Styela clava: one gene and its partners. The protein of the gene in region 2 binds, or shares a complex with, the protein of the main gene of each other region. Links are inferred from orthologs where the notes say so. Each region holds a gene or a part of one and is shown on either strand. Other genes may lie near its edges.

Region 1 (10,721 bases), on a different chromosome or scaffold from region 2:
TTAGCAGTATAGGATTTTTGTATCTTGCGCATAAGCAAGCTCCTGAAAAACATATAGTTCAAGATGTCAAACTATCATTATCATTTAATGACTGATCTTACAGAACTGTGTTTTGCTTGTAAGAAAGAATTAGATTGAATTTAAACATTAGTATTGAAGGTCTAAGTTTATCTTTTGAGGATTATGGCCTAAGTAGATTTTAATAAAACAGTATACCAGTGGAATATACTGCCATAATATGGATATACTAACAAAGTAACAATAAAAAGTAGAATTCATAATTATAAGTTAATGCAAATGTATTAGCGCAGACATGTAAATTCTTCCATGATTTTTGTAAAGCATGTCTGAAATGATTTGTTTTCATGTTCTTTTCTTTTAAAGATAGCATAATGTTTCTCAATATTGTGAGTATATAAGATGAGAGTGAACCGAAGCTATGATTGAATCTGAAAATGATGAATTGAATTTCATTGAAGGCGACAATGCTGCGTTACAAATAATCAATGATGAAGGAACATTACGTTTTCTTACTTCGGACTACATAAATGAGAATAATAATATTGATGAAGAGGCCAAGGAAAAGGATATAAAAGAATTGACTGATGCTAATATAGAAAAGCTTCGTTCTCGCTACTCTGAAGTTTTGGAGAAAGTAAAACCCACAGCGGACCCTGCAAATGCTTTCAATATGTTAGAAAAGGTCCAAGGTGGTAAATCAAGTGATTATAGCATATTGACTAAAACTATAAACTCTTTGGTGAAAGAAATTGGAATCCATGATTTACAAGATTTTAGAATCGAGGATATTGTGTTGCTTGTTTTGGACATGTTCACAGCATTGCGACAATACATACATGAATTTAACGTGCAGCATATAATTCGACGGCGTGTAAAATCGGCTATTACCGCAAACAAACAACGCAACAAAGATCAGCTCAAGTTTGGTAATATGGAAGCATATTTAAGTGATCTTTACAAATTGTATCCTGAAGTTGGGACTTTAGCTTCTGGTCGATGGTTGACCAGTGCTGAACGTCCATACAAAGACACTGTATTAGATATAGTTGAAGCAATTGGTATTAAAGATGCACATGATACAAGGATTTCTCATGCTGTCACATTAGCAATGGATCAATATCCTGTTTTGAGAGACCAAATAACTAATCCAAATTTACGGAAACAGTTTTTATCTAGAATCAAGAGAAGCTTTTCGAATAAATCCAAAACAAAAGTTAAAAGATCGTCCAATGACGAAATATGCCAGGTGAGCAGTGAGCATTGTAACAGAATTTATGTAGAATGGCCGCCTTTGATAATGTATAGCTTCGCTCTTGTCAATAACACAAATTATTGCGTGCTTGCCGTATAGCTTGATAATGTGAATCTTATATTTCTATATGAGCCACATTCAAGTAGCAGAAAAACTTAATGTTAATATTGTTTCATTGCTTGGTAATATGAATCTTATATTTCTATATGAGCCACATCCAAGTAGCAGAAAGACTTAATGTTAATTTTGTTTCACTTTTTTTTTTTATTCATAACTGCTTCTGTTCTCAGAATGAAGATATGTTTGATCAAGATAAATGTGCAGGCTCCAAGATTCCTAGGATAGAATTGGTGATTGAACAGGATGAAGAGAATGAATGTTTTCTAGACTGCGAAAAATTATAAGGAAATTCCACTGTTTTTACTGTTGACACAGAGGGTCTTGCACAAACATGTAATTCGTCCATTGCAATCACAGATAGAATATGTTATATGTGTAGCAAACTGGACGCATTCACAAGATAATGTCTGCCTATACATATTATGTGAAATGAAAATACCCCATGAAATTGAAAGATCATTTTAGTTCTTTATGCCTCAAATATTTCTATATCTTTCCAGATTTAGATAATGATGCAAACATTATTGGTTTAGTGGCAAAGTTAAATATATTTTATAGCTTAGTATATATATAAATATTCTTACTTTACTACATCTCCATGTTTTCACGAGTATTGTATCTTTTGTTGTAGTTATTTTGCCTTATTTTTGGTGTTATGCAATTTTGAATAAGTTTTCAAATATTATAAAATGAGGGTTTTATGTTGTGACCAAACTGCTGGTTTTGTGATGGACGCTTTGACACAACTGTTGGGCAGTGTTAACCCTAGACGTTTCAAATATAGCACACAACTTGTTTTTAAAAAAATATTTTTGCAAAATAATATTACTAGCTCGCGTATAAAATATGGGAGGAGAATAGCCGATGGTAATAAGAATGTGGGAATTTTGGGTTTTGCGCATCTGTATTTATAACACTAACAACTCGTTTATATAATGGACAAACAAGTTAGATCTTTATGTTATCGTAAAAAATCGTATGTCATATGAGAATTGACTAATGGTTGAAACACATCGGATTACATACATATATGCGTATCACGTGAGATAAATGAAAAATCCGCATTTGCGTGGCAAGCGGAGTTTGGCAAATCAATAACGAACAGTTGGTACTCCTGATGTACGCGCACCAAGATGTCGCATAACCTGAACTCTAACTTGGTACACAACCTGAGTTCAGGTTGTGCGCCATCTTGGTGCGCATACTTCAGGAGGTCCGAACATTTTTAGTATATATATATATTTTTTGTTTGTTTGTTGGAAGCGTTAGTCGTTGGTTGAAAGTAATATAATTACTTAGTTTTGATTGAACAATCCATATGTGCCATTTTGTTTGAATCGAACTCGTTTTTCAGTAGCCTATTGGTTATCCCACTATTTATCGAAACAGCCTCTACTGTTTTTAAAAACAGTACAGAAAATCACTCCTCGAAGAATCTTTTCTAATGATATAGGACTAGCGCGTTGTATTTGACTTCGTTTAGGTGAGTTTATAATGAAATCCTCCTTAACGGTAGATAAAAGGAAGACAAAAAACAACAGAGGCTGAAAAACTGAGGGTCCTCAACATTTGAAAGTACAGAAATCGGTGGTTTCCTAAATGTATTTTGAATCGAAACCTGAAATCACTAGATACCCTGTAGTCAATGCTACTTCATCTGAACATTCTCGATTCCAGTTTTTATGGATATAAATATATTCGTAGAAATATTTTTGAATCTGTTACAGTAGCATAGAAAAGATTAATAGAGTAAGGGTTATTGTTTCGTCAACCAGAAAACAAGCATTGAAACATTGAAAAACACTCAAAGTTGCTGGGGAGTGATACGACCATGCGGTCATCTAATTGGGTCATCAGAGTTAGTTCCCCATACCCACTATTATGTAAAAGATCCCGAGTTCCAAAGTATGTGAACGATGCATAAAAAAAGCTACTTTTTGCAAATCTGATTCGCATGCTTTCGCATCTGGGTTCTTCGGTCCTTATACGGACAGACAGTCCTTGCCAGATTTGTCCAGGGATTGAACCAAGTTCATACAGATTGATAGTTTTTCCCTTATTTGAGACATAAAAATAGCATGAAATTAATTGGCTGCTTTGTCGTCTTGAGAACTAATACGTAAACACAAAACGGTCAGAATATTTATCACAAAAGGAATATTTGGCGCTCATCTCAGTTTTGCGCCAGAGGGCGCTAAATTTCTGAGTCCAGGAGCATGTGTTTCTTGTCAGATATTCTCATGCTGCGTGGCTGCTTTTGTGGGTGGATCTTTGATTTCTAGTTTCATTGCCGTGTTTTCGCAATATTATTCATAAATTCTCATTAGGAAGTTTGTAATGTGTAATGACGCGTAATATAAATGAAATGGACGAGGAAGAGCAGTGGGAAGATGTTAAAGGAAGGAAGAGAGGACAGAAAAATCAAAATGGGGATGGATTGTCAAACGACTTTGAGAAAGAGCCAGACTTCAGCGATCCAGAGGATTATGAAGAGGATATCAGCGATGAAGGTATGGGAGTGATCCTTATTGCACAATTTGGGGGTTTTGATAATGTCAGAATGTGCTTTATTTCAGTATTTACTGCTTTTTTTTCATTTGCTAATGCCAGAATGCAGTTAAATTAACTCAAGCAGTCAGGTTTCTGCAACACGTTAACTTGCAGACTTGGTAATTCAGCCACAGGAGTGGTGACTTTTCTATGGGCCGGGGCCACGGTCCATCTAATTTGGCCACATGCTGACATGGGCCCATCAGGAAAAGTTCAATTATCTTACCAAAATTTGCAATTTTTACAAAATTGTCAATATTCGAACCGAAAAAAATTGTGAGATGCTACCAAATTTTGGGTCTGGTGAAGTACACGCCGTCAAGTACTTCTACCGGGCGTAGCATAACGATTTTTGCATACAATATTCCTAACCCTCACCTAAGTACGTCACCCAAAAATTACATCACTGCGACGTAACAATCGCGACATAGAGCTTGCTAAATTATAACTACAATCGTTCTAAATGTCATCTGTGCCGACTATAATGAACTCACTAACCCCAGCGATCTCTCTCTTATCGTTATCGTTACGGCGAGAAAACGAGAGAGTAGATTGCACAATTTCGGATGATTGTCTGCACGACCACACGTTTACTTTGGAGGGCCTTATTACGTCACTGCGACTATGCAGTGATGTAATTTTTGGATGACGTAGTCAGTGAGGGTTAGGAATGACATATGCAAAAATTGTTGAGCCAGGCCAATTACAAGTGCTTGCGGCGTGTACTTCACGAGACTCCAAATTTTTTTCTTACGATGGGCCTTTATATAAAAATAAAAATAAAGCAAAATACCAAGCAACAGGATAGAATACTCCTGTAGTATGTGTACCAGGTTAGGGTTATTACAAAATTTTGTTCATATTTTTTACATTATAGTTCTAATATGAGTTCGGGGACTGACTGTGTTAGCCAAGTGAATAGTCCCTTTACACAACTTGATGGGCCGATTCCCAATTCGATGGGTCGTGGCCCCGGCCCATACGTCGTAGAAGAGTCACCACTCCCACTCTAATTCAGGGAACTCTGCAACTGCATGAAAGTTTCTGATAGAACTGCAGAATGTTTACACTGTTCTTTTTTATTGTCATATGGCGTGGCTGTGTGGGCAACCCTAAAATGCGGGAAACGGGAAATGCACTGAAATGCGAGAACCACAGGAAATTGCCAAAACTAAAATGCAGGAATGACGGAACTATGGGAAATTTCACCGTCGTCGTGCCAGACGCCCCTCTTTTGTGAGAGACATGGAGTGTTTGTTTTATTGAACCAAATGGAGGAAAATTCTTGGAATTCGGATAGTGTGCTGTATTGACATCTAGGAGATAGTTATGTGCAAGAGGATTGCTGGACTCCTCGCCGCCGTAGGGTGGTTCACGTACTGCTGGTTGGTTATGGCTTCCTCCACCATCTAAGCCATGCTATCGAAAACAAATAACTAATCTCATACCTGACATGGAATGATAACCGGAGGCCCTCAGCTCCCTCTCCCTCCAGCCCCCGGGATAAATATGTAAATCCTATCCTATTTTTCAATATTATAAATTTTGGAATTTATTTTAAAATGTCAAACAATCCAACGTCTTCTGATGGCCTGTGTCCATGGTATCTTTTTAAAAATATTTGAATTTACGGGATGGTTTATCCACTTTGCGATCAACTTATTTTTAAGCTGCAACATTCAGAGGTTAACTTCCTATGCACACTTGAAATGAATCACTGAAATGATCTATTTGGGATCAAACAACAAATTTGCAGCCTAGCTCTGATAACCTATCTGCTGTGTTGATGCTACCAAAACTGACAGTAAAGACAAATTTGATGTATCTCGTTGGAATACCTCTTAGAATATATTATACATATATATTATATACTTTTTTATAAAATTGAGCATATATTATTTATATACAACTTATATATTCAGAATTACTGGGAGACATTCTGAGAAAGGAGCCAAAAGAAGCAGATGGATGTGAATCTGTAATTGTTGTTGACAATATACCTGTCGTTGGTGAAAGTAGACTTGAAAAACTCAAGTCTGTTTTAACAAAAATTTTCTCCAAGTTTGGACCAATCCAGTCCGAACATTTTCCACAACAGAATGGACAAACAAAAGGGTAAGTAATCGCTATGTTGATTTTAAGCAAACTTTGAAGTTCTTAATTATATACATTTTTTATTATTAAAAGAAGACATCATAAATAGGCTTATGATATGAATAGGTAAAAGCTGTTGCGATCATTTTAATGTATTCAAATTATTTTTAATTAATTTTGATCTTGGTCGTTTTCATTCTTGCATGCTCTCTTCATCCCTCTCATTTTATTGAATGAAATTCATCATTTTCTTTGTTCAGATACATATTTATTGAATACACTAGACCCGAGGATGCATTAGAAGCAGTGAAAAAGGCTGATGGATACAAGCTTGACAAAGCTCATACATTCAAAGTTAATTTATTTAATGATATAGAAAAGTATGTTATTCCATTTGTTTCAAATTACACTAGAAAATTTTGAGGCGAAATTTATGTGTCTAAATTTTTCACAGTGATGTCATTGAACCAGCGTTCTAGTTGAAATTGCAGCAACATTTATGTTACAGGTCTTAAACGGAAAATGGTTTATGGTGTTCTGAATAATTTCGATTTTTTAGAGCCAAATTTATGCTGAACGTTGATTTTGAAAACTATTTTGGATGTTAACTATGTTTTATCTGTACCTACTGTGATCTCGAAAAGTGACCTTCTCGACGTTGATAATGTATAAAATGTGATATCTATTGGTCTGATATGTTATGCCTTGAAAATTTCAGGTTTGACAACATTGAAGTTACTCAAAAATCAGCAGAAAAACAAGAATTTAAAGATATGGTATGATTTTATTTATCACTGTTTGTTGAACTTGATGATATATTTTCCATCTCCGTATTCTCCTTTTCGTGAGTATAGACTTTGTCTGTTTCCATATAAAATTTGATGTTTCCATACCTTGAAATTGCTCACTCAATTTTGTGTGTTATTTTTCTTCAGGGAAATCTCCATTATTATCTTGAAGAAGAGGATTGCAACGATCAGTTCAGTATCATATATGAGGGAGGAGATAAAACAGCAATATTTTTAAACACTCATACTGAACCAGCATTACTCGAAGAAAGAAAGGTTTGAAATTTTAATAAAGGCTAACTCTGAGCAATAAACGTTTTGTTGATAAAATTAATTTGTGTGCTTAATTACTTTCAATCCTCTCTTTCAAGTTTCTCCTGTTCATTATTCAGAACTTCCATTGAAAAATTAGTTTTCGAATTCAAATCTCATGCCCACCACCTTACCCAGAATTGGGAGGTGAGTGATGCCGGATCGAAATGATTTTCGACATCCCAACAACAGCATCTATTTACATGTCATTAATTATCAGTGGCACAAATAAGCGTCATATGAAATAAATAATCAATATATTAATCAGGATATTATATTTTTAGAGATGGACTGAGACATATACTCGTTGGTCACCACAAGGAACATACCTCGCTACTTTTCATCAAAAAGGCATCGCACTTTGGGGAGGCGAAAATTTCAAACAGATTCAGCGTTTTGCTCATCAAGGAGTTCATCTTATCGATTTTTCTCCATGTGAGAGGTGAGATCGTATGCTGTAAAACAGAGTCTTCTTTATTAAGACTTATATTATTTAGGTTAAAGATCTTCGATGTGCTTTCAGTTTTCTGTCGACTGTGAACACACCACACTCATCTACAGTCAGTGTACACGCCAGACAAAAAAATTTTTGTGAAAGTTTTTTTTTTTCTTGGAAAATTCTTATCTGGACGTCGCAAGCTGTTTTCCATCTGTAAATTATCATAGAATTTCCATCTCGCAAATTTGTTTCTAGGTATTTGGTAACCTTCAGTCCAATGCAAGCTGGTCGTACTACCGAAGAACCACAAGCTATTGTTATATGGGATATTTTTACTGGTGCAAGGAAAAGAGCTTTCCATGCGGATATGTCTGGAGAAGAAGACAGGCAATGGCCAATTTTCAAGTGGGTTTTATTCACTGGATATAGTGTTTTTGCCCTAGTTTTTTAAACTCCGTAAATTTTTTTAACTTTCATACAAAGGCAGATTTCATCAAGACAAAACGTTACAATTTAACTATGTGTGACTGTTATAGCTCTCAAACGTGCAACATTGACCGTAGCACATATGGTTTTTATTTTCATTTCTCTTTTGATTGGAGAAAAATTATAAGATTGATTTACACAAATGAGTTTGGGAACTACAAAATTGGCGCTCCAGAAGATTGCATACCAATATGGAGGTAACTAATTTTATTCGCCTACTTTACATCAAGTTGTGTAAAGGTACTGAAAACTATGGGTAGTGGTTATATTCCCTTGGCTAACACGGACAGTCCCCGAACTCGTAATAGAACTTAGAAAAGGAAAATCCTAGTAAATTATGGCCTAACCCTTACCTGGTACACACACTACAGGAGTACCCTAAAATTACCAACAATGTCCAGATTTTTGCTAAAGCAGGTATTCAACTTTGTTATTTTTTACAGATGGAGTAACAGTGGAAAATTTTTTGCCAGGAAATCTAGCGGAGTTTTGAGTGTTTATGAAACTCCAGTAAGATTTTTGTTGTTATTTTATAGTGTCATTTCATAAATATGAAAATGAAAAATGGATAAATTTTAACACAAAGCCAAATTAAAGAAATAACCCAAATAACCAGATTAAAGTACCCAATTATTGATAGTGAATGCGGAAAGATCAGTGTCATTAGTTTTGTTTTCACATTTTTCACTTTTAACACATAGATAAAATGGAGAAATAACCCAAATCACTAGATTAAAGTAGCCCATTATTAATAGTGAATGCGTAAAGACTAGTGCCATTAATTTTGTTTTCACATTTTATTTGTTTAGTCGTTTGGACTGCTCGATAAAAAAAGCTTGAAGATAGAAGACATCAAGTGAGTGCAATGAAAATATCTACGATGGTTTGCTTATAAGGTGTTTCCATCACTTATCTTATGCTTGACAATTATTGATAAAAAGGATCAACAAAAAGTCTTGAAATAACGTATGCATTGCAAATGGTACATAGTGAAGACCTATGTTTGTGGTCCACAGGGATCTGCTCTGTGGCCCCCTGGGGCTGAAGGACCCAGTTTGAGAAACTCTGGTTAATTGTTGCTAAGGAGGATCTGTTCGAGGCAGGATTAAATAATAGCTTCTGAGAATAGATATTGCTATCAGTAGGTAAATCTAATGCTATTGCTTAATGCTAATATGTTTGGAGGCTTCAATCATTTTCTGCTTATACAAAGAAGGAATTTTGTGTTATTGTTGGTTTTCAATTTACCTTTTCGCCCCATCATTTCATTGTTGGATCATAATTTAATAATTTATCTGACTTGCTGTTTAATTGAAAATTATGTCTTGAAATGTTTTTCCAAATTTCCTAGAATTGCGTTTTTTGTTTTCAGAGAATTTTCGTGGTCGCCAGCGGAAAACAAACTTGCTTTCTGGGTTCCAGAAAGAAATGAAATTCCTGCTCGTGTTACGATTCTTGCCATTCCATCACGTCAAGAACTTCGAGTCAAAAATCTGTTTAACGTGTCTGACATCAGATTGCATTGGCACAAACATGGGAAGTTCCTATGTGTGAAGGTTGATCGGTATAACAAAACCAAAAAGGTATTATGGTTGTGATTTATATTTCTTCCTTTTGACTATTTTGAATTCATTTGAATTTTAACCCAATCTTGGTAAAGGCAGTTTAATATTTTTTCACCTCGTTTGATACACAATTTCGATGATTAATAACATATTTGGTAACACTATGAATAGTATTTATTCCAGTAAAAAAATTCCCTTATAAATATACCGAATATACAGAATACTAATTTAAAATTGTTACACATTAACTTTTTTTTTTTTTTTTTGTATATGGGTGTTTATACAAGCTCAAATTGCGAATTTTTTGATACAATATATAGTTTGTTGGCCTCGAAGTTGTTTAAACGAAGAAAAAAAATAAAAAAAAGCACTGGGTAAAATGAAATAAGTTTGGTTAAGAAATATTGCGAACCGACTTGTGTCGGCAAGTGGCAAGTGTAAGAGAGAAATTTTACTTTGTAATTGTCTATTACGAATTACGATTTAACATTTAGTTGTTAATATATGTTGACTCTGACTATATGTTGGCTACTACCTATACTGAAATGTCTATACAGACTCTGTGCAGTTTAATTTCTTTTTTCTCTTGTGAAAAATTCGAATCTTCCTTCAATGCCCGCAACAAAAACCACATACTTCATGACCCTGATATTATTATCAATATGACCTTTCATCACACTGATTTCATGAAACTCAAAACATTATTTGTCCCACAGGCAAACATCTCTAATTTTGAGATTTTCCACATCAAGGAGAAACAAGTCCCGGTCGACATTGTTGAATTGAAAGAACAGGTATTTATTAATATGGCACCCTAAAAATTCTTTCAAATTATATTTTCAGCATTGATTGAGGCATACAAAGATTGCTAATGCTAAATCTAGATTGGGATGTAAATATATGTAAGCTGCCACCTTCATGTTAGTACGTGATGACGTTCAAAAGTTTACTACTAATATGTACATATTTGAATTTTCAATACAATAACAACCACTCTGAAAATGTTCATATTGATCTTGTTTCAAGTCGGATATATCGTGAATAATTTAAGTAATATTTTTTACTCCCATTTTCAGGTTACCGCATTTGCTTGG
Region 2 (10,721 bases):
AACAAACTCTCCTCCAAAAAAGTTTCGAAAAGTTGACGACACGACGGGATCAATTTGTACAAGAGAATCAGTGATAGTAGCTGTAACACCCGGAATGGCTCAAAACGGAACAAAAATGGCGGAAGACTCGATCGATGAGGGGTTGTATTCACGACAGTTGTACGTACTCGGTCACGAAGCAATGAAACGGATGGGAGCTTCTAATATTTTCATAAGCGGCATGAAGGGACTTGGAGTGGAGATTGCAAAGAATGTAGTTCTTGCTGGTGTGAAGTCTGTTACTATTCATGATGATGGCGTTACTGTTTTATCTGATCTCAGTTCGCAGTATTTTTTGACTGAGCAAGATGTTGGGAGAAGCAGAGCCGAGGTTTCGGTTGGAAAAATTACCGAGTTAAATTCCTATGTTCCAGTCAAAGTTCACTCTGGAGATTTAACCGATGAAATCTTGAAAAAATTTCAAGTTGTTGTTCTTACAAATTCAAACCTAGAAGAACAGCTCAGAATTGGGGATTTCTGCCACAACAACGGTATTCGCTTCATTGTTGCGGATACTAAAGGTCTTTTTGGTCAAATCTTTTGTGATTTTGGTGAGAAATTCGTCGTTTTTGACAATAATGGGGAACAGGTTAGATCGGTTATGGTATCAGCTGTCACACAGAATGAAAAAGGGGAAGGTATTGTGGCTTGTATGGACGAGACTAGACATGGATTCGAAAGTGGTGACCACGTTTCTTTTACAGAAGTCAAAGGAATGGTTGAACTTAACGGATGTCAACCAAGGGAAATAAAGGTCCTTGGACCTTATACTTTCACTATAGGCAATGTCAGCAATTTGACTAAATATGAAAGTGGGGGAATCTGTACTCAAGTTAAAATGCCTACCCCTGTCAATTTTAAATCTCTCAGAGAAGCTATGGCAGAACCGGAGCAAGTAATTACTGATTTTGCAAAATGGGAACGTCCTGGCCAATTACACGTTGCTTTCCATGCTTTACATAAGTTTGTCGCTGACAAAAATAGTTTACCAAGAGCTCAGAATAAAGAGGATGCTGATACTTTGGTACGAATCACGGAAGAGTTGAATTCGACGCTACCAGATGGTGCCAAAGTGGAAAAAGTTGATGAGAAGTTAGTACGACAACTTGCATATGGTGCACGAGGTGATCTTTGCCCTATGCAGGCAGTAATTGGCAGTATCACTGCACAGGAAGTAATGAAAGCGTGTAGCGGAAAATTTAACCCAATTAAGCAGTTCTTGTATTTTGATGCTCTTGAGTGCCTCCCAGAGGATGGGGAGGAAAAATTGGATGAGGGATCTTGTACAGCCATTGGTGATCGATATGACGCTCAAATCGCAGTTTTTGGAAAAGATTTTCAAAAAACCGTTGGTCAACAGAAATATTTTGTTGTTGGCGCTGGTGCCATAGGCTGCGAACTTCTCAAAAATTTTGCTATGATGGGTCTTGGATGTGGAGAAGGAGGGAATATCACTGTAACAGACATGGACATTATTGAGAAATCAAATCTTAATCGCCAGTTTCTGTTCAGACCATGGGATGTTCAGAAACTCAAGTCTGAATGTGCAGCCGCTTCTGTCAAGAAAATGAACCCCCAGGTTAACATCATTGCTCATCAGAATAGAGTTGGACCAGAAACTGAAAAAGTTTACAACGATTCTTTCTTCGAAGGTCTCGATGGTGTCACAAATGCTTTGGACAACATTGATGCAAGAATTTATATGGATCGAAGATGTGTGTATTACCGTAAGCCTCTGCTTGAATCTGGTACGCTCGGGACTAAAGGAAATGTCCAAGTTGTTCTGCCTTTTCTCACAGAGTCTTATTCTTCCTCACAGGATCCCCCTGAAAAGTCTATCCCAATTTGCACGTTGAAAAATTTCCCGAATGCGATTGAACATACTTTGCAATGGGCACGTGATGAATTTGAAGGGATTTTCAAACAACCAGCTGAGACCGCTAATCAATTTCTTACTGATGCAAAGTTTTTTGAACGAACCGAGAAACTGCCTGGAATGGAACCTATTGTTACATTGGAGTCTGTTTTTTCCTCTCTTGTCTCGCAATATCCGAAATCTTTCGTTGATTGCGTGAAATGGGCTCGTACGAGATTCCAGGAGCAGTATTATAACAATATTGCGCAATTACTACATAACTTTCCACCAGACCAAAAAACAACATCTGGTGCTATGTTTTGGTCAGGACCTAAGAGATGTCCCCATCCTCTTGAATTTGACGTGAATAACGAAACCCATTTTGAATATGTTTATTCCGCTGCTCAACTAAAAGCTGAGATGTATGGGATCAAGGAAAGAGCCAGCAAAGCTGCAGTTGCAAAGGAAATTTTACCGACTATTAATGTTCCAAGATTTCAACCGAAATCGAATGTTAAAATTGCTGTGACAGATTCTGAAGCACAGGCACAATCTCAAGACTCATCTTGGGACGATAGCAAATTTGATTCAATGAAATCGTCTTTCCCAGATCGTGACTCGTTTGGGAAATTGAGACTCGTCCCGATTGAGTTTGAAAAAGATGACGACACCAACTTCCACATGGATTTCATCGTAGCAGCGTCAAATCTGAGAGCGGAAAATTATGAAATCGCTCCCGCAGATAGATTGAAAAGCAAGCTTATTGCTGGTAAAATTATTCCGGCAATTGCAACGACAACTTCTCTTGTTGTAGGATTAGTTTGCCTTGAATTGTACAAGATAATACAAGGTCACAAAAAAATGGAATCTTTTAAAAATGGATTCGTGAATCTAGCATTGCCATTTTTCGGATTTTCAGAACCGCTACCTGCACCAAAACTGAAGTATTACGACACCGAGTGGTCACTGTGGGATCGTTTTGAAATTGACGGAATCAAATTAGCAAAGGAGGGAGAATCAGAAATGACACTGGGTGGTTTTATGGAATATTTCCAAAAGGAATATAATCTAGAAATTACGATGTTGTCTCAGAACGTAGCGATGCTCTATTCCTTCTTTATGCAACAAAGTAAAAGAAAGGAGCGTCTGGCTACAAAATTAAGTGAAGTTGTTCAGAAAGTTTCGAAGAAAAAGTTACGTTCTCATGAAAAAGCACTTGTTCTGGAGATCTGCTGTAACGATAAGACTGGAGAGGATGTCGAAGTACCCTACGTTCGATACGTCTTTCGTCATTAACTTGACAGACATTTGAAAAACTTTGCTGCATGTAGTCTATGTATTTTTTCTTATTAGGTAACTCAATAACCAGAGACGTTGAAACTACAAATATATTGTAGTTGTATAGTTAATTGTACAGGCCAATCTAGCAAATTATAACCCTTTTTAAGTGGTTCAAAATGATTGAGATAAATGCATCTTACCATTAAAAATCATCCTTTTGAGAAAAATGATATATGGGAACACTTTATTTTTCTGGGTTTTTGTCGAGTCTTGCCCGGCTAAAAACTAAATGCATTGATTTGAAAGGCTACTATATTCCCAGTAGATATTTTTACTTTGCTTAATAGGGCAATTTATTGTGCTTTCTGTTTCTCATATTTTTGTGTGAATTTTCTTTGTTATTAATTGAGAATAGGCAACTAAATTGTAAGTTGTTATTTTTCATTTCAAGTGTTGTAATTAACTTAATCTTTGATGAAGATGAAAACTCTTGAGAAGGGAGCAGTAGTTGATTGGGGTACCACTCTAATCGACCACTCAATTTGTACGATTCTTATTTCAACGTGTGAATCTTTCCTGCAAATGAGACACCAGATAAGTCTTGACTTCAATTTATATTCAACTATTATCTTTGCCTGAGGATAGATAACCATGACTTGTAGCTAGACCTCTTACCATCAATGCTTTTTATATGTTGAAAGTGATTCAAGATTTTCCACCAATATCATTGAATTATTTACCCAATATAAATGCAAATGAAATCCTAATTGCATAAAAAGTGAGAAATAATACCATTATACAAATGACTAAGAATTTTTTATTCTATTTCCCTGAATATCTCAAATCTGACAAAAACAAAAAGCCATGAAATCCTAGTTATCTGGAAAATAGCATGGTGTCCAGAATATTGCTTCAAAATTTGATGTCTATTTTCGTGGATAGAGCTCGAACCTGACTAAAAGACAATGTGCTCTAGTTTTCAGTATCTACTTTAAATGTTTCTTCATGTCCAATGTTCCGTTTTTTTGTTCTGCTGTCCTATGAAGTTTCTAAATAGTTGAAAATCTTCACAATTTCTTGGCTGGCGATAAGTTTTCCTCAACATTGTACCGTTTTGTGGACTGTTTTTTTCTATACTCTTGAAATTGTAGAGGGTTTCTGCCGTTTCTCATTTAGACTGTAATTAGGGAAGTCTAAATTCTAATAGTTTGACAGGGTACTGTTCTGATTTGAAATTCAGTTTGAACATGAATTTTCTATACAGATTTAAACTGTATCACTTAAGTTATATATGACATGAAATGCCATTTAAATAATATGTTTGAATTGAAAACTGCATGTTCAGCAAAGTCAGGTATTTGAGTAAATTCCAAATTAACTAACTTGTATTGAATTCTAGATTCAACCACACTACAACATAAGGTCTATCGCTGGATTTTGAATCCCCAATGAATATGATTTATTTTTAACCCTGTCCCTAACCATAACTTGGGTAGGTAACGTGTTGCTAGACCTCAAGCTATCATTTATAATTCATAATATAAGTTGTTAATTTTGAATTTATTCAAATACTTGATAGTTTTGTACAACCTTGTCTGTTATGGTAACGAAAAATTGTTCAGTCTAAATATCAAGTTCATTATTTGTGTATATTTTCCTAAAGTTCTTTTCATTCTGGGCAATGTAAAAATCTTGGCGAGTTATCATTATTTTCATATTCCACTTTGGGCTCGACATGTTAAAGTTCAAATATTATTTTTTGCTTCATTTAACTCAATTAATATGAGTTTGTCAAACTGTATATTTTCACCTTGCTTGTATTGTATAACTAGACAATGACTTTTGAAAAACATATCGATATTATCATTAGGATAACAGTTCAGTATCATTCGTTATTCGAGTCTTATTATTGACCTCGTTGAAAATTACAATCTTTTATTATATTGATTAGACAGACCAGGAGAATATTGCTTGCTTTTTTCCACAAGTCGACTTTTAATGAAACTATAGGTCTTTCTTTAATTTTGAAAACCTATACACTTTATAATTTAGATGTTTAAAAATTCGTTTCAACTTATTAAACTTCTGTTGCTACTCATTAACATGACCAATATTTCAATTTGACAATTATCTACAATAGAACATCAATAAACATGATTTAAAATTTCAAGATACGTTTTTACAAAGAAACATAGTCAAATCTTGTTAATGTATATACCATGAGCATTCATATTATCAAAATAGGCATAGAATTACAGTTTACCATTCTAGAATTTTGGGATGATATTGATATGTTTTTCATTGTCTACACTTTTCACATGTCTCATTAAAGTGTTGTCTTAATTCGCCACATTGTTTTTTTTGCAATAGATTGTTGCTATTTCCAGTTAGAATTTTGGCCAAAATAACACAATTTTTGTGATCTTGTGGCTGCATTTTTCAAGAAGAAAATATGTCTCGTTTTTTCGGAGCATCGAGCTCCGATACTGATGAGTCCTCAAGTGATGATGGAATGGCGCCTGCACCACAGAGACCACAGTCAACTAGGTATAGTGGAATTCGTTATTAAAGTTTTATATACCACCATTACTATTTACATTTTTATATAGTGATTTGCCACCTTCATCCTGAGCAAGGCTCTGTATAAGCAGCCACTGATACGGGTATTTTGGAATGACACATGCAATCCTTTTTTACTTATCTGTTTCAAATGTTTAGTGAACTTAACGCTTTTGGGGTTTGTCACAAAATTCAGTTATCCCCATTAGAAGTATGAAATTCAGAAGAATCAGAACTCTCAATTCTGAAAATTTCATAAGCGTGACCCCCAAACAATTCCAATGTTACCCGCAAATAGTTTGTTGTATGCAAGCCTTTTTTAATTATAGACTGAGAATCCTTATGTTAATACTTTTTGTGATCTACCAAAAATGTTTGGTACTCCCGAAGTATGTCAACCAAGATGGCGGACACAGGAGCGTAGTATGTGTACCAGGTTAGGGTTAGGCCATAATTTCAGGTACAAACACTACAAGGGAGTTACTTGGCTAGTCCCCGAACTCATAATAGAACTAAAATAAAGAAAATTGGAATAAAATTATGGCCTAACATAACCTGGTACACATAGTACGCTCTAGTGTCCGCCATCCTGGTTTACATACTTTATGAGTACCAAATTTATACCTCAAATTATCACCATTAATTGTCTATAACTCATACTCTAACAAAAAAGAATTCAAATTCCTGTATCTAACCCCTTTGACTTGGAAATGCAACTCTCACTCAAATAACAATAAAGACGTTCCAACTGAGAGTCAGACTACACTATTCTGGTTTAAATTCAAATGGACAGCGGAATGTAGTATGTGTATCAGGTTAGGGTTAGGCAATAATTTTGTTTCAATTTTTTTTCATTTTAGTTCTATACTAGTTCGGGGACTAGCCAAGTGGTATTTGTACGTGAAATTATGGCCTGACCTAGTTCACATACTACGTTCCGGTGTCCGCCATCTTGTTTACATGCTTCGGAAGTATCTTTACTTTTGCTTTTCACTGACTCATAATGTTTTTACTTTTCCTAGAGTTTTTCTGATGAGTGATGATGAAGAAGATCAGAAGAGAGTTGTGCGAAGTGCGAAAGAAAAATCTTGGGAAGGCCTCGAAAATTTGATCAAATCAATGAGAAATGCAAGAAAGATCAACGACATGGTCAAGGTATTTCAATTTTTAACATTTTATGAAACATTTTCTATTTTTTTGTTATGAATAAAGCTGATATAAATATGCACAAACGGTAAGCAGTAAACGATACAGAATATTATATAGATATTAGAAACATTGCTTAACTGATTATTTATTTTCACCTGCTGCGTTTGGTTTAGTACTGTGTCACAAATTATGTTTCTCATCTCGTGTTCTTTATTGAAGCTCAGCAACTTTGTGTCAATTTCATATTATTGGTGGACATAGTGCGTCTTAGAGGGGTTGAGTTTGCTTTACTTCACTGAAAAAGTGTGACTTTGCTTTGAGTAAATTATAAAACAAACAAAAATGTGGCTGTATTTGCTAAATAGCGCATGCTCACAAAAAAGTCACTGGTATGTAAGGTGCTACACACTATTTTTGAAATTGCCAGAATCTTGCGTCCCTGCATGCCTACCCGATTCTTTCCGTGAGGTCATGAGTATGAATTCAAGATGTTAATAACCTGCGAGGTAGTTTATTTAAGTCACTCTCACTACTAGGTCACAAGTTGTGTTTAGTAATTACTTATCGATTTTAATCGGTAAGTATGTTGATAGGTATTTGTCTGTTTGTCTGTCTGTTAGATGCGGGCGATATCTCACGAAAGCGAGATTGAATCTGCTCCAGATTTTGCATGTGCATTCATCATATGCCGGACCAGAAGCCTATTGATTTTGGATGAATTATGTTGTATAATTAACGAGTTATTAATTAATTAGTGATAGGACACAAGCTGTCACTATGGAGTAATAGCGCTGTTTTGGGGGATCCCCTAACTTTCGATCAATAAGTCTTCAGTCTTTGACCGATATTCTTGTTTTCTTTTTTCAGGTTCTGGATGATTTTGACAATCTCTGCAAACAATATGTGAAAGCAAAAAATGTGATTGCAAAAGAAGGAATTCCTCCTTTCTACATCAGGAATTTGGTTGAAACTGAGGACCATATCAATGAGGTTTGATTCGTTTATTTATATTTTTATATTCATCTCTGAGGAGAGGAAAGCCAATAAGACAGCTTAATCATGTGACGAATTCTGTATTGGATTAAAGCCACTGTATTGTCATTCCCCACAAAATTCGAACCTGTAAACACACACAGGATAATCAGTGTTGCAATGACATACTTAGCATAATATACCACATTTCAAGTATATAAATGGCTGGAGCGCCGGCATTTCTTCATTCACAAAGATGCAATATTATTATTCGCACCAAATTCTTCTCTTTTACCAGCTATGGGAAGACAAGGAGGCTCGTAAGAAGATGAGTAAAGTCAACTCAAAATCATTAAGTACAATGAGACAGAAATACCGTCGTTACATTCGGGATTTCGAGAAGGAAATGAAGGAATATAGGGAAAACCCAGATGCTGTTGAACATCATAAAGAAGAGGAACCTTCAGAGCCAGAAAGTTCTGATGGTAAGTCTGGGCCAAACAGGAATCGCAACAGTAGGGTATTATGTTGGTAGTCGTGGTACTTCAACTATGGTAATTTAATTTGTATTCCAAAATATTAACAATATGTGTACCTATACAACATTAACTTTTTAAACGTGTACTCAATAAACATAATTAAAATGTAAAAAAAATTTCCAATTGCTGTACATTTCAGCAAATATCTGTGGGTTCCAGGGGATTCGTTCGTGTGCGATGACATCATCGAAAAGTGTGCACATAGTGATGGTTCTGCTTTTGCATTAGTCTTGAAGTTTGTTGTAAAATATATGACAAATATGTACTTTGCCATGTTTTTTAGATGAAGTCCAACCCACTGGATTCCTGAAAGCCCCTGCCAAGGCAGCAACTAGTTGGTTGAAGAAAGAACCAAAAGGAGGAGATGATGATGATGATGACAGTGATGTAAGTTTTTGGGGAATGGTCGCTAAATCCTGGCACAGAAATTAAATGTTATGGCGGAACAAAGTCTTAAGTTTTCATCTTAAAATGTATTTAAAAATTAATTATTAAACGTTACGCCTAAATATAAAGAAACACAATCATAAATAAGCCTTGAAACGACATACTCACTTTAAGTATAAATATAAAATCACATCTTTGTGTTGAATGCTACGATAATTGTTATTATCGGTCTTGATTGTGTATTCTTGGCAACAAATAAATTGATATCAGGTCTAAATGACCAGCTCTGTTTATGAATGATGCAATCAAGACTCTCAAAAACCGCCTCCTTTGAAACTCCCCCTCCCAATCCCCCCCCCCCCCCCCCCTTGTTGACCAGTGCACAATTTAGCAATTGATATTATTCTGTATCTTTTAATGGGTCAATTCTTCAAACTGCTTTCTAATTGCCCAACCTTTAATTGCCCGTTTTTACTAATTAATTAGTGTCTGCTCTGCACTTTCCTTAATTAAATTGCTAGCCGCTCAGCAAGTGACAGCTTTGTGAATCGCATTTTTCGTTTTGCACAATCTAGCTGTTATGGCTTAGGGTATGATAATAGGCGCAGGGGTAATAATGAAATAAAACAATTGTTTTATCCTTCCTTATTAATCATGATCTCCCATTTAGATCTGGATGAGTTCTTCTGAGGATGAGTCTTCTGATTCTGACGCTGAAACTGGTGGAAGGCAACTCACTGCTGAGTATTTCTTGAAAAAAAAGTAAGTTGTAGGAAATATCAGTCAATCTCATCATTTTAAATTTCCATTTTCAAAATGTTTCAAAATTATTAAAAAGTCTATGTAAGTCTATTTCATTCAACAAAATAACAGGTTTTTAGAAGCTAATTTATCATCATTTTTGTGGCTTTTTTACATTTTATCAGGCAAGGTTTTGTCCAAGCAGCCACTAATATATAAAGAGCTAACTTTTTTTGTAGAGATTGTTAATGCCATTGCTTGCCTAAACTATTATGTGAGGTGCTCATCAAGTTGTTTTTGTTAATTCGGTAAAAACGTTCAATTAGAAAATCACAATAAACATAACCAAAGTAATAACTCTCAAGATACACCAACAGGAATGAGCTCTCAAGCACAGAAAGCACATGGCTACTTCACCTTCACAGCTTGGTCATGATCATTCATCTGAAAATGATGACATCACAGGTCATGCTTAGCCATCTGGGAAAATACTAGTTGACAGAAATACAATAAAGTTTTATTTTACTGTTCCAGGGGGCTCGTATCTTGAGCTTTTTGCGGTATTCTGTCTCAAAATTCACTATAGTACTCTCCAAGTATCGGGGAATACTTGTGTAGATCATTGGGTACTCCCGTAGTATGTGTACCAGGTTTTTACCATAGTTTTATTCTAATTTTCTTTATTTTAGTTGTATTACAAGTTCGGGGACTGTCTGTGTTAGCCAAGTGAATATGCCCTGCCCATAGGTTTCAGTCCCTTTACACAACTTGATGTAAAGTAGGCGAACAAAACTAGTTGCCTTCATATTGGTACACACACTTCTGGAGCACCGATCATTGTTCATATATTACAAGGAAATGTCTTATAATTTTGTGTGTGTCCATGTTTTTTAATCGAAATATGGAAAATCCTTCTATTCAGACCTGGTACAGAGAGTAAAGAAGAAACTGATAAACCTAAACGAAAGAGAGAACAAAAAGAGGGAAAGAGTGGGAAAAAGAGTGAGGACGAGGAGGAGGAAGAGGAGGGCTGGGAGAAGGTAAGAATGCTACAAATACCTCTGGCATCAGACCATATTTACCCGGTTTCGAATCTTGTGGGGGACCAGTATTGCTTGTTTTCTTACAGTACGCCCGTAGTGTGTGTTCCAGGTTAGGGTTAGGCCATAATTTTATTCCGACTTTTTGTATTTTTTGTC
Region 3 (10,721 bases), on a different chromosome or scaffold from region 2:
CTGGAAACTGCAGGCAGACCGGCCAAAACGATTCCTTTAGTGTGATCTGTATATATGTATGATTTCTCACTTTTCCTCGCAGTTTTATTATAGTATAATATCTTTTGATTCGACTTTGCACTTAGTACCGTGTCACCTCGAAAATAATCTGAATTTTAAAATTGATTTCAATATAAGCCCTCCCCTTAAAATAAGACCTAGTTGATGACAAGAAATCTTTCCTACACGTTTTAAATGATTAATATATATATTTGAAAATCTGGTAATTCCCTACTTTGTAATTTTGTTTTATGATAAATGAAAATAACCCCCCCCCCCCCACACCAATTAAAAGAAAGCCTAGTGCTATTTTTTAAACGAAAATTGGAATGAGTCTCTGTCTCATTTTCGGGGAAACACGATGCTTAGTAATGACATGAGGTCAACTGTGACAAAAATTGTACACAACAATTATATTTGATCTGTATAATGCGACCAACAACTTTGCCAATATGAAATTGTGAAGCTGCATCAAAGCATATGCTTAGGAGATTTTCAGATATCAATATCGTATACTGTACCACAAAGTCGTTCTTTTTCCTACAAAGATTTCATTTGATATTCCATACCTTTAATTACTAGAAGTTGGAGACATATTATTAACAATATTTTATTGAGCACTGCGAACAATAGTACGCAATTGTGCCTTTTCTGATTGAAAATTCTATTTAACGGTATTGATTTGTTTAAGTATATATCATGTCTCGAAGGCAGCACGGTCTGTATGTTGAATGGCAACCTTAACATAAAAATATATTAACAAATATCCATTGAATCCTATTTATAATTATATTTGCCTAACTACTTTAAGGTGCGGAGATAAGTATTATAATAAAGCACCCTAGCACTAAAAAAATAATTGTTTCTTGATTGCGTTAATCTTATGAGTCAGGACTGGGAAGTGCTACTATTCCTATGAAAATGTCTAAAGAGTCCTAAAGCAGCTCAGGTCAATACTGTACAATTTAATTCGGAATAATTCTTCATAATGCATTTAAATACCTTTATTGCATAGAATGTTTTGAAAGCTTTGTATTTAATACGGGTATTTGAGTATTCCGGTTTGGAATCTTAACCCTCTCCGGGCCCCTTTATCTTTTAGCAGTGGGAAAATTTGATATTTGGGGAAAGCAATACTTTTAGGTCATATATGATTAATTTTTGAAAATTTTCGACAGTCCGATTCCCTGGGGGATTTACTGGATGTTGCGCTAGTGCAACTTCTGCCCAGAAAGGACTAATTCTAAAATATCACATGTATGTTGTTCAATCTGCAATACCTTATAACATGACCGGTATGTATACCACAATGGTTGAAAATATAAATGGTATTGTCAAACTTATTTCATGGCTCATTTCAAAACTACAATTATGATTAAAAGTCGCAATAAAATGTAAACAAATGTTAATATAGATCATGTTTTTGCACTCTTGGTAGTTTCTCAAGTCAAAATATTTAGAAAATGCATATGAGTTGTCCCTTGACACTTTCATTTACCTATATTTTTTAAATTATTCGAAAACTTTGATTTTCCATATATATCAATGCAAGAATATAGAAAATCAAGCGTTTACATTGAAATAATTTTGCATTTACTTGCTGTAATGTATTTTATCGGAGAAAGAATTTTTAGCGTGAAAGTCATTTTGATTACGCTACGCAGCGAAAAAATAGGAAACCAAATTTTTTGGTAGCAGAAAAATCGTTAGCAATCTGTGTGTTTATTTACAGGTTTACGATTTCGATATTTTTGGACGGTTTGTTTCCTCTTTTTACTTCAGACTCTCGTTTGAATTTATCGACCGACCCTGCCCCCAGTCTAAAAGACGGCCAGTCGTAGTTTTCTGCAGCATTTGTGTTCAGGCCAATTCTATACCAATTAATATAGATTGGTTTATGAGTAGATTGCAACACCTTTATGGTGTTGTCAAAAATTCGGGGCAGAGAAAAACTGTGCTCTCCCGAACATCGAATTAGCTTTTATGTTTATCTGGCTGAACGGCGACGCACTCGGACTTTCAAAACACGACTAAGTTTTAACTCTAGATTCGTTTTTAGATAGCTATTGTCTGTCCACATAAATTCCAACAGTCAAAATGCTGAAATGGTCTGATTTTTTAGGCTCAAAATCTTAGCTACATAAATATCGTTCTGGAAAATTAGGTGTTTTATCAAAATCAGCGTCATCGACATATTCATAATTGTAAGTCTCAATTGCTCCTTTGTCTGAAAGTGTGGCATTAGAAATACGCGCTAATCCAACGCAATTTCTGCAAAAAATCTCCCCTCTGGCATATTTGCAATTGTTCTGCTAGATCGCTGAAAATACAAATTTGAATCAATCTGAGACACTTCTCTATCATTCTAACCCCGTATTTATGGCTAATATACCTCGATTCCATTTGTTTATAAATCTGAATCATAACACTTGTGCATACTTTATGTCACGCCTCCTAAATCTTCTGTTTACAAAAGAATTATCGGAACCCAAATTTTTTCCTATACGGCAAATTCTCATATACTGCATCCTAATGATCCTGATTGTAACTTATGTGACACAGGAAACTCATAAACTACGTTATCTGCTCAATAAGCCAATATAATTGACGAAACTATACAGATGAATCTTAGCTAATTTCACAACCGAAATCCACTTCTGAGGGAAGATGTTGCACCTATGCAACACTAATTTTAAACCACCCCTCATGAAACCACATAAATCGTTCGAGGTTGCAATCGGTTTGTAAAGCCTCTGTAAACACCATTCTTTTACCCCGTGCACAGATATGACGAATTCGGTGTATATTAATTAGTATAGTTGCTTAAAATATGACCATGGTTCACCAGCCTGACACGAGCACCGGAGACCGCATCTTGCTAAAGACGCTTGCAGCGTCATCAGGCAGCGGCAATGCAAAATAGCAGTTGCATCGAACCAACTAATTATCGCAGTAGTACGTTGAGTAGAAAAAAGCATTCTGCGGCAGAAAATGTGCGTCATAGCTAGTTTACAAGATGTTGTTGCATACGTGTTACGCATTCCCGGAGAGGGTCAAACCGGAAAATATATATCAGTTGTAAAACAAAATCGTGGGAGGAGCAAGAATTTCATTGATAATCTATCTCGTGTTTCACTATGTTCTAGAATACAAAATCCATTCAAAAAAGGGTCAAAATATATAAGATTAGTTTTGTGCTACTTGGTGGAATCCCAGTCATAACATTAGTAGTCAATTATCGGAGAGCCATAAATAAATAAATAATTTGCATCGTAACTTCAAATCCATTTTTGCTCAACAGCGCCAACTCGAGTACGCGAATTATTTCGTTGAGATCTAACTCGTGTTTAGCTCAGCTTACTGTTCGCCACATGTTGTCTTCAGCTCTGTGGCTTCTACTATCTGACAGTTCTAGTAATTATACCTACAGTTCAGCAACTGGCCCTTGAGTGCAAGCATTCGAACGGCTTCTATCGCATTTCTCTTTGTCCATAAAGTCGTCTCAGTGTGTTATTGGATTTTATTTCTGAAGATTTTCTAGCGTTTGAAATTAAGTGGACTGGGATATGGTGAGTTTTTATTATTTGTCCATCTTTCTGCCGGCCTGTGCATCATTTTTTGTTTTAGCATACTTTTAAATATCACTGTACTGTTATAGTGCAAATTTTGGGTCAGGTATTATTTAGTACCACATGCACTTCTAGATGGCCTGGCTCCACAATTTTTGCATATGTTAATCCTAACCCCCACCTGACTACGTCACCAAAAAATTCCGTCATTTGGACGTCACAGTGGCGTAATAAGACCCACCAAAGTATGGAGAGGGTCGTCCAAAACGCACAGCTGATCACCCGAAATCGAACAAGCTAGTTCTCTCGTTTTTGCGTCACAACGATCACCATAGAAGAGAGATCGTCGGCGTTAGCGAGTTCGTTATCGGCGGTGCAGATGCCATTTCGGGCGATTGTAATTATACTTTGGCAAGCCATATCACGTGATGGTGACGTCCTAGTGACGTAATTTTTGCATAGCATAGTCAGGTGGGGGTTAGGAATAACAAATGCAAAATTCATTATGCTACGCCCACTGGAAGTACTTGTGGTACCAAACTATACTAGACCCCAAATTTTTTCAATGGCTCAAGTTAATTCCAGTATCAAGTCCATGCTAATAACTGGCTAACTAATCCCATACCCGACCTGGACTGGTAACCGGACGAGAGGCCTAGGTTCGCCATATGATTAACCTTCCTAACCCGCCATTCCCTAGTCAAATTTTTAAAATATTTTTAATTAGCATTTGTCACCTAACCAATATGGCTTGAAAGGCCATTGAAGGCTTGTTTGAATCGTATTATTGTTTTCTATACGCAAGAGGTCGCTAATGGACCGCTCCATGTACGAAATTTTGCGTACGTGAGAAAATTCATCGACGATAGTAAACAAACATTCGAACCTCTCTCCTTTATGGCCGTTGAACCTTACTTATGATAACGGCACTCTCTCGCAAGCGTTATAGCCGTTTTGGTGTTTGTCTTCCTAACAAAATGATATCACAGGCAATGGTGTAGCGCAAATAGCTGCCGAGTAACGAAGCGGTATATTTGTGAAGTCAACGCAGTTCTTGTTTGTTTATTATTGTGCGGGTAATTATTAGTGCGTGTTTACGCGAGGAAAATGGGCGCTCGGCCGCGCAAATTACTTTCTTTCAAGTAATAACGTATTCCTTTGTATGTTTCTTAGCTTTCAAATATTTACAGATATAAAACTCGTAAAATTGGAAATATGCCAAAAAGGAGTGACGCACAACCCGGGTGCAAAAACAATCGGACAAGCCTATATCATGCTTGAAAAAGGCGCGAAAATGTCTTATTGGTTTTGTTTTGAGTGAAGTCCATAATAAGACGTGTACATAAAGAATGTTAACTCTTACTGACCAATCATATTAGAGCCATATTCATATTGTAGTTAGTTCGCATCCCGAAATAACAGGGTTAAGCTGTCTTATTGCCTTATCGGCTTTCTTCTCCTTCAAGATGAATAAGTCAATCTTAAGTGGGTAAACTGGCGCATGTATATTTACATATATTAAACCTTTATAGAGGTTTTGCCAGTTTTCCAATCTTCTGTGTGTTCATTGTTTGTGTTTAGTGTATGATTATTTTTGCGGGAAAATCAAAATATATATACTTATACTACTTATCCTATTCTTCACCTATACATGGTAGCTTCATTCTGAATTCCTAATTGGGCTTAACTAAAGGATATCGCCTTGACTCAACTTGATGTCAAAGTTCTTCTATAATATATTTCAGAAACCTTTAATTCTTCAAGGCCATGAGCGTGCAATCACTCAAATTAAATATAACAGAGAGGGAGATTTATTATTCACAGCAGCAAAAGATGCTTCACCTAACGTCTGGTTCACAATAAATGGTGAAAGGTAACTTGTTTATAAGTTTATTTCGACTCCATAATCAGCAGATGATAGAATAATTGATAAAAATAAAATAAGTAAAACTGATTATAGAATCGGGAGAGCAACCAAAACCTTAGGTAGGGTTTAAAGTGTACAAAATTTAGATGGAAAGGTATTGATAAAAGAAGTAGTTCATGTTTGCTCACCTCATTTAAATATTACATCATTTCGATGACATTTTTTAATCAAGTGTTTGTTACTTGTTTATGTGATGCTTGTTCACATCTTTCGTTTCGAATAAAGTCCCTATGCGGCAGCCACTGATAGCTATCGATATTTAAGAAGCTATTATTTGTGAAGGATCAGAAGCTTTTTGGCATTGCCTGCCTACCCAATTCATTACATTCTCAGTGAGACGGTTGACATGGGGTGAGATGATGTACAACGGTTTGTATACGCTTAGTTTCCTGCATTACTGAGATATTTGCCAGTGCCAGGACAACCCTATCTAAGCCTAAATGTCATATAAATCCAATTGTATTTTATTGCCTGTCTTATGTCACCTTGCGGTCAGATAATGTAAAAGCTTTTGAAATCCAATCTCACCTTGGAACTACATTCATGTGTTTTGAATTGAATTATCAGTTCAGCTAAATTCCACAAGTAGAACAGAATATATCACGACAGTGTGGCACATCGTGCTAAGCCACTGCACCTCTGATTATCCTGCGTGGTCTTGCAGGTTCGAATCCCATGTGGGGTTAGTTATGTGCGAGGATATTGCTAGACTCATCGCTCTTGTAGGGCGGTTCACGCTGTTGGTTGGTTACGGCTTTCTCTGCAATCAAGTCCATTCATTTGAAAACAAATAACTAGCTAACCAATCCCTTAACTGGACTGGTCACCGGACGGGAGCCCATGGTTCGCCATATGATTAATTTGTCTTATCGGCTTTCCTCTCCCCCTGGATAAATATGTAAATCCTATTCAAATTATTAACGATATAATTTTGCCACTCTTGAAATTTCAAATTTTGTTCTATTCTAGGTTAGGATCATATGATGGTCATCGAGGTACAGTCTGGGCAGTTGATGTGAACTGGGATTCAACCAGAGTCCTAACTGGAGCTGCTGACCAGTCGTGTAAATTATGGGATTGTGAAACAGGTATTGAAAATGGTCAATGAGAGAGATGGAGATAAAAATTTTGTCAAACCAGAAAACATAATGGGGCCTATATAAATAAAGAGAAAATAACAGAATCAGAAGTTTTGGTGGTAACGATACAACCATTTACTATCATTCAATACAAATACATAAATTAACACAGGTTCTGTTCCATTACTGGTACTAATTCATATTGAAAAAGGGTGGAAATTTGTTTCTAATGCTTAGCATACTTTCAATATAACTCTGTGCTGAAGAGAAAGTTTTTTTGTAAGTTCGCTCAAAGCACGGTGTTCAAATCTCATTTCAAGTGTGATATTACACACAGCTTTTTTGTGTTTTAAATGATTCTCCATCTGATTTTATTTTAGTTTTAGCACACTTGGTCTGTGTATAGTGTCAGAGTATCAAAAATTGGATAATTCCATCATTGTTTGTTTTAATCTGATGCCTTCTTCTATATTTATCTCTTGAATGGCTAAATTCTTGTCTCTATATCAATTTAGGTTTATCAGATAAAATCAGATTGTAACTATTTTCTTATTTACCAGGTGTCTGTGTGAACACATATCAAACCAAATCATCATGCAGAAGCGCAAATTTCAGTTATTGTGGAAATCTTGTTGCATATACAACAGATAGACAGATGAAGCATGAACCTATGGTATCAGTGCATGATATCAGGCAACCAGGTAGAATTTTTATTTATTAGGCGCTCCAGAAATATGTGTACCAATATAGAGGTAACTAGTTCTGTTTGCCTACTTTACATCAAGTTGTGTAATGGGACTGAAACCTATGGGCAGGGAGTATATTATATTCACTTGGCTAACACAGACAGTCCCCGAACTCGTAATATAACTAAAATAAGGAGGATCGGAATAAAATGATGGCTTAACTCTAACCGGGTACACATACTACAGGAGTACCATGTATTATATTCAGGGTTACCCTTGAAAACAGAACCCAGAATAAGGCTCAGAATAAATTGGGATCTTACTTGAAAACAAAAAGATATTTGATAGAATTAAAACCACAAGCAAACACATTGATACCTTATATGTAAATATAACTAAATAATATAACTAAAATAAGGAGGATCGGAATAAAATTATGGCTTAACTCTAACCGGGTACACATACTACGGGAGTACCATGTATTATATTCAGGGTTACCCTTGAAAACAGAACCCAGAATAAGGCTCAGAATAAATTGGGATCTTGACTTGAAAACAAAAAGATATTTGATAGAATTAAAACCACAAGCAAACACATTGATACATTATATGTAAATTTATCTTTGTCAAAGAGATGAAAATAAATATCTATGCCTATCAATTTTTTCAATCATCCAGTGAGTAATAATAAAAAATATCTATCTTACCCAGCTGATGCCGAACCTACATTACAATTCACAATGGATACCAAATCTATATCAAAACCTATGTGTTCATTATGGGGACCTCTTGATGAATATATTATAACAGGACATGACGATGGAACGTTGGCTCATTGGGATATCAAGGCAAGTTGCTACAGAGATATATTTTTTTTCGTTCCACAGTGATTAATGCTTCAATAATGGGCTCCAGTTCTGGCTTATTATTAGTTCGTTTTTTGATATGACCAGTACTATAAACATAAGTGCAAATTTTAAAATTAATCTGAAATTTAAAACTTATGAATTAATATTGGAAATTGAATTCAGAAATTAAGAGCTTAGAAGGATAGATTTATTTTTATTTGTAGGGAGTGTTAGAAAATGATAAATGTGAGAAATACGGAGGAGGTTAGGAGCCACTGCAGTTTCTAGTAGCTAGGCTCCAGCTCCGACAGAACGTTACATCACCTCAACTCCGCTTCTCTCAAAGATTGAAATGTTCATTTTACAAGCCGATGTACCCATTTAAGAATTGTTTAATACCAGTAGTTTATTAATAGATTATCACTGACAATCATTGAAATATTCAATTTGATATCATAGTTCCCTTTTTGGAAAAGCCGAATCTGAAACAAACCACTTTTTCACAATAATTCGCTTGCCATTTCAAATAAATTTTTCTGCATGCATGTCAGTTATAATTCAAAATTACTGAATTTTCTGAATCTTTGCTAGTACAAAAGGTGTCCGTCAAGTTCCTTTACAATTTCAATTTTGTTATGAAATAAGTTCTCAATATATCATAACCAGATTTGTTGTTTTTAATAAATTGTTCAAGTACTTTTACTTCATTTGATACATCTGTGAGGGCCAAAACAACATATAGTATCGATAAATTCCCTTTTTCAAGACTTTATGGACACCCTATATACGCCTACATTTGAATATCCTTTACACAGACTGGCGAGCAACTTCATTCAATCAAGGAACATACTGCATTGATAAAAGACATGCAGTTCAACACTGATCAAACAATGTTGATTACAGCAAGCAAAGATAAAACTGCCAAAGTAAGTTTGAAATGGGATATCATGGGAGTTTATTATGGATGTATATCGCCAGAGCAGAATCAAATTCGCATATTGTCAAATTTTAAGGTTTTGGGAACACCACATTTTTGCGCGCTTTAGAATTGTGTGTACCAATATGGAGGTAGCTAATTTTGTTAGCCCACTTCACATCAAGTTGTGTCAAGGGACTGAAAACTATGGACATGGGGTATATTCACCTGGCTAACACAGACAATCACCGAACTCGAACTAAAATTAGGAAAATCGAAATAACATTATGCCCTAACCCTAACCTGGTACACATAATACGGGAGTACCCATCCAAGTATGCTTATGCAGATGGCACATTTTAGTTATATTATGAGTTCCGACACTGTCTGTGTTAACCAAGTTAATATACCCCTTGTCTATAGGTTTCAGTCCCTTTACACAACTTGATGATGTGAAGTAGGCAAACAAAATTAGTTACCTCCATATTGGTACATATACTTCTGGAGCGCCCAAAAATAGACATAAGGGCTAAGGCGCTACCTGAAATCAAAACTATAACTGGTACAACTTTGAAACCCAGGCAAGAAGATGTCCCCTGGTCCATAATGACAGATTCAAAAAAGTCCATTTATGAAAAATATGACATAAGCTACTTTGATTTCACTCGGATGATAACCAAGGTCACATTTTCAGGTTTTTAGAAAATCACATTTTTGGAGTTTTCATATAAATGCAGCCAGGACTAGAACTGGAGATGGATCCTGGTCCATAATGACAGCAGATTGAAAAAATTAATATCTGAAAATTCCGACATGAGCTTCTTTACCAGGGCAATATTTTTTGTTTAGGATATTTTTCTAATGTTTGCTCTGAACAAGGCTCTACAGTACACTCCCGTAGTATGTGTATCAGGCAAGGGTTTGGTCATAATTTTATTCGGATTTTCCTTATTTTAGTTCTACTATGAGTTTAGGGGCTGTCTGTGTTAGCCAAGTGAATATACCCACTCTACATAGGTCTCAGTCTCTTTACACAACTTGATATAAAGTAGGCGAACATAATTAGTTACCTCCACATTGGTACACACATTTCTGGAGCGCCCTTGGATGCGCTTATTGGCTTTGCAATAATATAGTGATGGCCTGGCAATTAAAGAGTTTAACTTAACTTTGTTGACATCGGGGGTTACTCGTTTTGGGTTTAAATCTCGTGCCCACCATTTAGGCCAGGGTGTAGTAAATTGGGTAAGCAATGTCGAAACGAATCTGGACATTCCGAAAATAGTAGATTTTAATCCCTTGTATATCAGTGTCTGCTTACACAGGGCCTTTGTTGAAGTGTAAAGCGTGAAAGAGCCGCATATGAAAAGATTAGTATTTTTGTTTGACGATTATTATCCTTCTTTACGCAGCTCTTCGACACAGCAAGTCTGCGACCACTAAAGACATTCAAGACAGACCGACCTGTAAACTCAGCAGCTATTTCTCCTGTTGCTTTGCACGTGAGATCAAACTTATTTTTCAATGACAACAATCTTTTGCTTGAAAATTGAACTATTGTACAGTAGCATTCAGTCAGTTTGGAAATTGAGAAACAATGATATCTAGTTTCTCAATTAACTAAGTATACCTTTTGTATTAGACACGGAAAATCTGAT

What was found. The genes of interacting proteins can lie anywhere in the genome.
Region 1: eukaryotic translation initiation factor 3 subunit C-like (region 2) and eukaryotic translation initiation factor 3 subunit B-like share a complex: the UniProt entries of both Caenorhabditis elegans proteins name them as parts of the eukaryotic translation initiation factor 3 (eIF-3) complex. The link is inferred for Styela clava from reciprocal best matches to the Caenorhabditis elegans genes eif-3.C and eif-3.B.
Region 3: eukaryotic translation initiation factor 3 subunit C-like (region 2) and eukaryotic translation initiation factor 3 subunit I-like share a complex: the UniProt entries of both Caenorhabditis elegans proteins name them as parts of the eukaryotic translation initiation factor 3 (eIF-3) complex. The link is inferred for Styela clava from reciprocal best matches to the Caenorhabditis elegans genes eif-3.C and eif-3.I.

Annotation. Positions count from the first base shown.
Region 1 is NC_135262.1:9,899,452-9,910,172, forward strand, and holds the start of eukaryotic translation initiation factor 3 subunit B-like, read left to right. Parts: upstream 1-3,595; 5' UTR 3,596-3,737; coding exon 3,738-3,903; intron 3,904-5,865; coding exon 5,866-6,058; intron 6,059-6,297; coding exon 6,298-6,417; intron 6,418-6,755; coding exon 6,756-6,813; intron 6,814-6,972; coding exon 6,973-7,101; intron 7,102-7,421; coding exon 7,422-7,579; intron 7,580-7,831; coding exon 7,832-7,981; intron 7,982-8,505; coding exon 8,506-8,572; intron 8,573-8,871; coding exon 8,872-8,918; intron 8,919-9,434; coding exon 9,435-9,645; intron 9,646-10,343; coding exon 10,344-10,421; intron 10,422-10,703; coding exon 10,704-10,721. Other genes in the region: Golgi pH regulator-like, read left to right, coding at 1-95; uncharacterized protein LOC120333244, read left to right, coding at 440-1,267, 1,564-1,677. UniProt on the Caenorhabditis elegans protein: RNA-binding component of the eukaryotic translation initiation factor 3 (eIF-3) complex, which is involved in protein synthesis of a specialized repertoire of mRNAs and, together with other initiation factors, stimulates binding of mRNA and methionyl-tRNAi to the 40S ribosome.
Region 2 is NC_135250.1:3,239,362-3,250,082, reverse strand, and holds the start of eukaryotic translation initiation factor 3 subunit C-like, read left to right. Parts: upstream 1-5,538; 5' UTR 5,539-5,627; coding exon 5,628-5,722; intron 5,723-6,756; coding exon 6,757-6,889; intron 6,890-7,750; coding exon 7,751-7,873; intron 7,874-8,153; coding exon 8,154-8,340; intron 8,341-8,677; coding exon 8,678-8,781; intron 8,782-9,451; coding exon 9,452-9,543; intron 9,544-10,444; coding exon 10,445-10,562; intron 10,563-10,721. Other genes in the region: ubiquitin-like modifier-activating enzyme 1, read left to right, coding at 1-3,190. UniProt on the Caenorhabditis elegans protein: Component of the eukaryotic translation initiation factor 3 (eIF-3) complex, which is involved in protein synthesis of a specialized repertoire of mRNAs and, together with other initiation factors, stimulates binding of mRNA and methionyl-tRNAi to the 40S ribosome.
Region 3 is NC_135257.1:18,321,723-18,332,443, reverse strand, and holds the start of eukaryotic translation initiation factor 3 subunit I-like, read left to right. Parts: upstream 1-3,379; 5' UTR 3,380-3,605; coding exon 3,606-3,608; intron 3,609-5,353; coding exon 5,354-5,481; intron 5,482-6,504; coding exon 6,505-6,623; intron 6,624-7,174; coding exon 7,175-7,315; intron 7,316-8,010; coding exon 8,011-8,147; intron 8,148-8,962; coding exon 8,963-9,073; intron 9,074-10,475; coding exon 10,476-10,565; intron 10,566-10,721. Other genes in the region: uncharacterized protein LOC120346396, read left to right, coding at 1-45. UniProt on the Caenorhabditis elegans protein: Component of the eukaryotic translation initiation factor 3 (eIF-3) complex, which is involved in protein synthesis of a specialized repertoire of mRNAs and, together with other initiation factors, stimulates binding of mRNA and methionyl-tRNAi to the 40S ribosome.